Linked DNA regions of Tribolium castaneum. The main gene of each other region encodes a partner of the protein of the gene in region 2 in a complex. Links are inferred from orthologs where the notes say so. Each region holds a gene or a part of one and is shown on either strand. Other genes may lie near its edges.

Evidence for each region. The genes of interacting proteins can lie anywhere in the genome.
Region 1: transcriptional adapter 2-alpha (region 2) and Mocs2B share a complex: the UniProt entries of both Drosophila melanogaster proteins name them as parts of the ada2a-containing (ATAC) complex. The link is inferred for Tribolium castaneum from reciprocal best matches to the Drosophila melanogaster genes Ada2a and Mocs2B.

Annotation. Positions count from the first base shown.
Region 1 is NC_087396.1:21,505,745-21,509,563, reverse strand, and holds Mocs2B (molybdopterin synthase catalytic subunit), read right to left. Parts: upstream 2,507-3,819; coding exon 2,262-2,506; intron 2,211-2,261; coding exon 2,029-2,210; intron 1,979-2,028; coding exon 1,721-1,978; intron 1,289-1,720; coding exon 1,071-1,288; intron 1,025-1,070; coding exon 914-1,024; 3' UTR 877-913; downstream 1-876. Other genes in the region: JNK1/MAPK8-associated membrane protein, read left to right, coding at 1-64, 108-320, 370-539, 590-876; Mocs2A (molybdopterin synthase sulfur carrier subunit), read right to left, coding at 2,516-2,773; Wdr92 (dynein axonemal assembly factor 10), read left to right, coding at 3,302-3,585, 3,628-3,758, 3,803-3,819. UniProt on the Drosophila melanogaster protein: Catalytic subunit of the molybdopterin synthase complex, a complex that catalyzes the conversion of precursor Z into molybdopterin.
Region 2 is NC_087398.1:11,844,520-11,848,755, forward strand, and holds the start of transcriptional adapter 2-alpha, read right to left. Parts: upstream 2,803-4,236; 5' UTR 2,722-2,802; coding exon 2,661-2,721; intron 2,618-2,660; coding exon 1,765-2,617; intron 1-1,764. Other genes in the region: rhodanese domain-containing protein CG4456, read left to right, coding at 3,074-3,076, 3,132-3,563. UniProt on the Drosophila melanogaster protein: Component of the histone acetyltransferase (HAT) complex ATAC; predominantly involved in acetylation of histone H4, including at Lys-6 (H4K5ac) and Lys-13 (H4K12ac).

The DNA.
Region 1 (3,819 bases), on a different chromosome or scaffold from region 2:
TTATGGTGCTCCTGGTCCAGATTCTGCACTGGTTTTTCATCGACATGGTGTCGATGCGACGAAGGTGAGCCCCCTATTGCCCGTCACACCTTCACTGTTCGTTGTAGCTTCAAAAAAGACGTCCTAATTTTACACTTGACTGCGCTGGTGGAAGTGGTCATTTCGGGGCTCTTGTCGGTGCTTTTCACGCACCCGTTCGGCGAGTTCCAGGTGCGGAACTGCAGAGTGCGCAGCTTGGCCGATTGGTACACTTTGTTGCATAATCCGGCCCCGGATTATGAGAAGAGGGTGCATTGTACCCAGGAGGCTGTGTATCCCTTGTAGGGCTACTAATTGATTATACTACTTTATTGAGTGTTTTTGTTTTAGGTATACGCTAGTTTTTATTTTTTATGCCCTGACTTTGATTGTTATGCTTTTGATAAGGCCATGGGTTTGCCGGAAATACCTTCCAAGGCAGAGCAAAATGTCGATTTATGCCGCCATGTACTATATACCGATTTTGGTGGTGGTCCATGCCCTAATTGGGGGACTTCTTTGTACGTAATGATTGCGCCAAAAATCACACTTTTGATTGGTTTTGTTCCAGATTATGCGTTCCCAATTTTGGTCGTTATTTTGTCAGTTATTTCGTGTGCTTATCACTTTGCCCTCAAAATCAACCAATCGATTCCCTCACTCATCATAACAACAGTTGTAGACCCGAGAAATGTGGTAATCTTAGTGGGCCATTGGTGTTTACACGCCTATGGTTTAATTTCAATAACTCAGCTTAGTGACCCGACTTTTCACTCATTGTTGCTACTGTTGGTCCCACTGCCGGCTTTTTTTTACATTTTCACGGCCAGGTTTACCGACCCGACAATATTTACGTAATTTATTTTTTAATAATAATAATAAACTAAAAACAGATTTATTTTTTCTCCTCCTGAACCTTCCGCTCCAAATCGCTAATTAGCGAATCGATTTCCTCAACTGAGAAAACCTTCTTCTTCACAAATCTATTGTTTAAGTGGCTTTTGTCCTAAAAATTTCACTAAAAAGGGAGGGAAATCTCTCAAAAAGCTTACCCAAAAATTGATATATTCGGGCGAAATCGTTTCAAGGAACAATATCCGGTCTTCTAGTTTCTTCAAACGGGTGTAGATATTTTTCGGGGTTGGGGTGGTCAAACTGAGTTGGATTTCCAGGTTTTGGAGGCGCTCCTCAATGCCGTTTTGGGGGATGTATTTGGTCAGGTAGTCCGAATTTGTTTGGTCGCGGTGGTAAGTGTTCAAAACCCGACTTACTGCAAAAAAATTAGTCTGAAATACTTGTTTTTCGAAAATCGTCCGAAAAGTAGCACTTTTCCCCGACATTTTTTGCTAAATTTATAGAGGGTTAGTCTGTTAAAAATATATTTCTCGTGTTGACCGTGCAGTTTCTTTGCTCTTTTTTTTCAGTCAATTTTTACTCGGCGCCATGGCCTCCTTGATGTATTATTTTTAACGAAGTTGTCTGCATACATCAAGGAGGTCATGCTCGGCACATTTGTGTCCTGTCCGTAAAGTCTTAATTTTTTCGTTAATTTTTTTATTTTCAGATAAAAATGTGTTCTCTAAACATTAATGAAAAATGTCTGGTGCCAAATAGAATAACCCTGTGCAGTTGTATACTTTTAGCAGACTTGTAAAAATTGGAATAAAAATCGTAAAATTGTGATTTTTTAAGGGCCACGAACCTTGCAAATGGCCATTGGAGTCTTTGCGTTTTTGCAAAACCGCATCGACTCGGGCGCAAGTGAACTCTGAACTTCGATTACTTGTGCAAAACTCTCTCACATTGCTTATGTTGATTTCGTTTCGCTTCATCTCCATAAAATTCTCGATTCGTTTGCTCAAGTCCGCGTTTGAGGCCTTGATTTGAATCAAATGGGGCGAAACGTTGGGAATTTCGACTTTGGGCTCGATTTCGAGCTTGAATTTTTTCGGTTTGGGGGCTATAAATGAGAGCCAATCAATTTTAGACTTTATTTACTTGACCACCCACATTCTTTATTTTCCTTCCACTGTGGAGGAGTTTCAGTTTCAGCGTAAATCTCCTTTTTCCAAATAGGCACACTCTCTTTAACCTTGTTGATGCACCAGTCGGTGGCTTGCAGCGCCTCGGTACGGTGGGGGGACGCGATTGCAATTACAATGCTAGCCTCCTTGACCCCCACAACCCCCAGTCTGTTAAACAAAAAAAAATCAAAATTTGGCCCCAATTTAAATTTTTCAAACCTGTGATAGATTGCGATATTTTCGACTTGAGGCCACTTGGCCCTGATCTCCCCGCACACTTTTTCGAGACACTTCAAAGCCATGGCTTCGTACGCCTCGTACTCCAATTTAAGGACGGTTTTTTCCCCGAAACTGTCTCTGGTGGTCCCCATAAAAACCGAGACTGCGCCACATTTCGGCGAGGCGACTAGATCAGTCAACGCCTCAACACTTAGCTTGTCTTCGGTGAATTTCAAAAAATTCATTTTGGGGCCCTAACCGCCACTCAGAGGTGGGATTATTGCTACTTCGTCGCCCTGTTTTAACACAATTTCGACACTTTCCACGTCGCAAAACTCCTCATTGAGGGAGAGAATAATGTTTTGGGCAATTTCGGCCAAAAAATACGTGCCGACGAGTGTTTCTAAAAGCTTTTTGTAGGAGATGGGGGACGGCAGGTCAAGTTCGGCGGATTTTTGGCCCACGATTTCTCTCGATTTAGCGAAAAACAACACTTTGACGGTCACTAACATATCATAGTGTTGTTGCGCTTACATAATCACCGAATTGAAGCAAAATAATTACTTTTATCACTACTCTGTTTATATTTGAAACGACATATTTAGAGCGCAAGTTGTCAAATTTTTAACCTCACTTTCTTACGAATAAAATGCAATTAAAAATCTTTTTTTCGAATGCTTTGGAAGCTGTTTCCTTTTTTCCTGACAAGAATGCTCTAAACCTAATTTGCTGGACAAATTAGTTAATAATTTGACTAATTAGAGCAATCCTTAAATGTATTGCTAATTGTTTTTTTACAGCCGTAAAAAAAGGTCCCAATGGCTGTTTGTCCGAACATGATTTTTTACAGTCGAAGGCCCTAACGAAGGGCTTAATTTCCTGCAAAAATAAAGAACATTGCAGGATATAACGGGGGTGAAAAAAAAAAACAAAATAATTAAAAACGTAACGAGAACAGCTTGTTTTATTTAAACTTGGGCAATTATTGCCCCCGAAAATGCGCTTTGCTATGACAACAATTGTTTGATCAATCAAACGTTATGGAGTCGCTCCAAAGGCCCCAAATAATCTGCCACGTGCAGCAAGCCCTGAACTACACCGTCCACGACGTCAAGTGGATCCCCTGTTCCGCGAAATTCGTCTCAATCGGGGGCAAATCAAACGGGGCTGGAATTATCGAGACCTACTCAATCAGTGGTGATGGGATCGAAAAAGTGGCCGAATTCGGCAAGAAAGACCACTTTAAATGCGGCACGTTTCACGCCTCGAGTTTAAGAGACCGCCACCTTGCGACTGGCGACTTCAGCGGGCGGTTACAAGTCTGGTAAGTCGTCCAAAAGTTGGCCAAAATTTTTAAGTCTCGTAGGGATTTGGAGGAGAATTTAATCCCGATTTATAAGACGGAGAAGCACCGCGGGGTCATTAACGCCATTGATGGAGTTGCGGGGGTTGCCAGTGGGTGCGGGGCCCCCGAAATAGCCACCGGATCTAAAGACGGTACTGTAATTTTTTATTGAAAGTCATTGCTCGAACATTTTTAGGGGCTGTCATGGTGTGG
Region 2 (4,236 bases):
TTGAGAACTGGATCGAATGTAGCACTATTTGCTATGTCTCATGTTTAACCAAGGTTTTCAACCAGATAAAAGAATATTTATTTTGCGAGCTTTGCAAAAATTTCTCAAAAAATTGCCGAAATATGTGTAAAGTAACTTCGTTTTTGCAAGATTTTGTTAGAACGAAATACCAATAATATCACAAAACTAAGTCAAACGTTTTTCTTGTTCGTCAGGCTACAGCTATTTGAAGAATTTTGTCTGTCAAAAATTCTTCAAAGCCTTTTAGTTCGTTTTTAGCTAAAAATTCTCTTTCATATATTTTTATTAACCTTACAATTACACCAAAAATTGTGTTAATGTTGTCGTTTTCGTATCTTTGGGCATGTTTTAAAATAAAAAAAATTGCAAAAACTAACTGAAAATCCACAAATTAAATCGAAATTGTTGTTGTTTACTTTGGATTGGTAAATTTACTACTTATTTAGTTTGGATAATCTTGCCAAAACACGTCTAAAATATTACAACATAATTAGAAAATTCTTATTTTGTGATATTTCGCCAAAAAACATTACTTTGCAATTTCACGTGTTTTAGCATTTTTTTTTAAATTGTGTTTAAAAATGACATAAAAGCATAAACCAGGAGGAGATAACACAAAAGTCGATCGTTTTTCTTGGCCAAAAAATGAGGAGTTTTGTCAATCAATCAAAAAAAGATGTTACTCAAAAAAATCACAAAATTAAGTCAAAACTTTTGCTTTTGCAAGCCGAAGATTTTTAAAGACCAAAATTAATGCTATGTTGCAGCTTTTTGTGAGCCTTTATACATGTTTTAAGGTAAAAATTAAAGTGTTTAAAAATTCTCTAGCTAGAAATTCACAGAATTAAATCTAAATTGGGGTTATTTTAGTTTACTTTGCTCAATTAAGTTCCTTTTTTGAACGAGAAATTTAATTTAATTACTCTGCCTTTTTCGAAAGTTTAGCATTTCTTCAAAAAACGTAATCACCAAATTGTTATTATTATATTATATTTTTAATTATATTTAATATAATAAAATATAAATAATAATAACAATTATATATTATATAAATAAATAAAATAATTAAATATATATGTAATTATATTCTTAACTATCATATTTTAAAGCTCGTTTTTTTAAGGTAAAACGCAATTTTTACTGAAATTTTGCTAAACTTGCTTAAAAAATCTGCTCGAAGATGACAATATTTTACTATTTATGAGATTTATTACCACGTTCATCCATAAAAACACATTTATTTCGCAACATTTGCTCAAAAAGAAGCCAAAAAAATTGCGATTAGAACGAAATTAGCATTATATTTGCTTTTTCGAGTGTTGAAGCGCCGATTTGTTTGAAAAAAATGTTAATTCTGCATTTAGCGAGTGATATAACTTTTTTCGCGAGATTTTTTTAAACCAAAACGGTTCCATTGTAAATAGCTATTTGTGCAACGAGATAGAAAAAGTGAATTCTTTCTGGAAAAAACTTACGAGTTGAACACAATGTTTTGTAAAATTCCGTGAATATTGAAGAGTTTGAGAATTTTTCATCGAATTTTACAAGTGTTTTTTTTTCCAAAATACAAATTGTATTATTTTTCGTCACGCCACTAACTGTTGAAGTATGTTTTAACATTTTTCTTTGTTTTTATTAATCTTTAGTGAACATTTTTTTCTCCGTCGTGTTTTTTTGGAACTCAATAAGCCGCTATTATGGAAAATAACCAACTTTATATTAATTCAACCGTTTGATATGAACCTAAGAATTTGTATTTTGAGTTCGCCGCTGTGGTGTAACCCCTCCATCAACATTTCGAACTGGACAGGAGTACAAAATTGCATAAATCGGATCAGTTTTTCATACACAGGACGTGTAATCGTAACGTCATACCGATGAAGCCAAGCGTAAACTTTCCGCAGAATAATCAATCCGTGTTCTCTTATGATTTTTTTCCACCTTTGGCGCTCCCTCAACCGCCGGTTATAACTCTGAATGATCGCACATTGAAGATTTGTGATCAAGTCAAAATGAGGATCGTCCTTATCAACCGGTTTAAGGTTCGAGAGCAGATCCTCAGCCGACGAATCGAACTCGCATTCGAAATCGGACCTCGCGGGGTTATAACCGGCCAAAGACTTGTACCCCACTGTGTTGGGGGAGTAGCGAGGGGGCTCATCGGTGTCGCTAATCCGCTGTCTGTAGGGCACCACCGGCTCACAAAACCAGTCCCTTTTGCTCGCCTCGGGCAAGTCTTTGGACCCCTTTCTGTCTAAATAAAACCAATCGTAGTGCGCCCTAATCTCCCTCACACTCCGATTTGGGAACTCTTTCGCCACTAAATTCCAGTTCCCGTATTTTTGTAACGACTCTAACAACACCACCTCCTCCCGAGCCGTCCAGTCCGTGTTACCCCAAACCGGAAAATCGTCGCGGATTATGTGATAATCGTGATCGTTCTTGTGCCCCCCAAACTCCGCACCTTTCGAAAAACACAGCGAACAAATATTCACTTTACACAAAGCGCAATAAATGTAAGGCGCGACCAAATCGCACGAACAATTCGAACAAACACTATCAGAGTCACTAGAGTAAAACGCAGGGGGGCCACAGTCTGAAACCTCAGTTGAGAACGAGAAGTAAACAAGGGGGCTCACCTTTGGGAAACTGCAAGTCAGCGGCGTCTTCTTCGGTTAAGTCGGTGTTTGCGTTTGCCATTTTTTCGAAAACTGTTTGGATACCACAAAAACTTAGGTTATGTGCATAGGTTATGTGAGCGGCAAGCGCTGCCTACCTGGCAAAATTTAAAGCACTAGCACTTTACTAGTGCGGTGTTTTTTGACGATTATTTATGAAATTATTATGTAATTCGAACGCAATCGGCATAAAACGTGAAAAAAAAAATAATTGGGGAAAATTTGATTGTAGCCACGGGACCTCTAATTTGTTTTGTGTGAATTGTGTGATACCAACGGTGACTGTAAAAAGTCTCCAAACTGATTTTTGCCAAAACTGTCGTAATTTAATAAAACAGGCGATAAAAAATAGTAAAAATCGCTTTATTGGCGCTATGGTAGTTCACTTTACAAAAACTAATCAATTAAGTTAATTACATAATTATTTTTTAGGTTAGGTTACCAATGTCGCTATCAAGGGGGCCCCAAATCCTCTCCCTTGTGAACAAAACGCCCGTCTTTCTTAGACTTTTCGCAACGCAAATCGCCTCATTTGATGAAGTCAAGTCAGTAAAAACGACTCCTAAGACTCTTCTAATCGATGTCAGGGAGCCCCACGAATTGCAGGAAACCGGAGTTATTCCTGACAGCATCAATATTCCACTTGGCGAAGTCGAGAAAGTGTTAAAAGACATGCCTTCTGAACAATTTCAAAAAACTTACAAAAAGGCTAAACCTGATTCTAGCACCCCCTTAATTTTTTCGTGTCGTTCGGGGAAACGTAGTGCCCTTGCGTCCGAGATTGCGACGAAGTTGGGGTTCAAAGATATAAAGAATTATTCCGGGGGGTGGCTAGAGTGGGAGGAAAAAAGTAAAAATATTTGAGTTGTAAATAAATAATACGTTATATGAGTGTAGGGGTTGTAGTTTGATTTGGATTTAGGTAGTGCCGTATTTACTTATTTACTGCGGCACAAAAGTGATAAACATGGAATGTTAAAAAATAAGTCAAAAAGAGTTTGCAATCTACAAATCTCGTCAAAAATTTTTTGAATGATAACACCTTTTGAAAGGCCTGATCACCATAAGTCAAAAATACTCACAAAAGCAAAACCAAATAATAATTTTGCATGTGTTTTGCCCTGAAGTGGATATTAGATACGATTTCTTCATTTGTTGATGTTAGGAGCATCCAGCGCCAATGTGGACACAAACACTTATTGCAAAAAAACATCAGCGCCGTTTTGAAAACAACATTTACCTACTCCATGACCCCCTTCCGTACTTTTAATAACGTGGGACAGTTTCCTCGAACTTTTCGTCTTCTTTGTTGGATTTTTTAAATGTTAATTGTCAAATTGAAAAAGTGCGCGCGCATGCGCTTTGATTTTTAACATGTCATTCAAGAATTCACTGGTTGAATCTTTTTGATTAATATAAAAGCGTTTCAATTCAATATTTCTTATTTATTTCCTCTCATTGTCCCAATTTTTGTGCCCAACATTACCTAGGGGGGTAGAATTCAGAGAAAAACTGAAGATGTGAGATGCAACAAAAA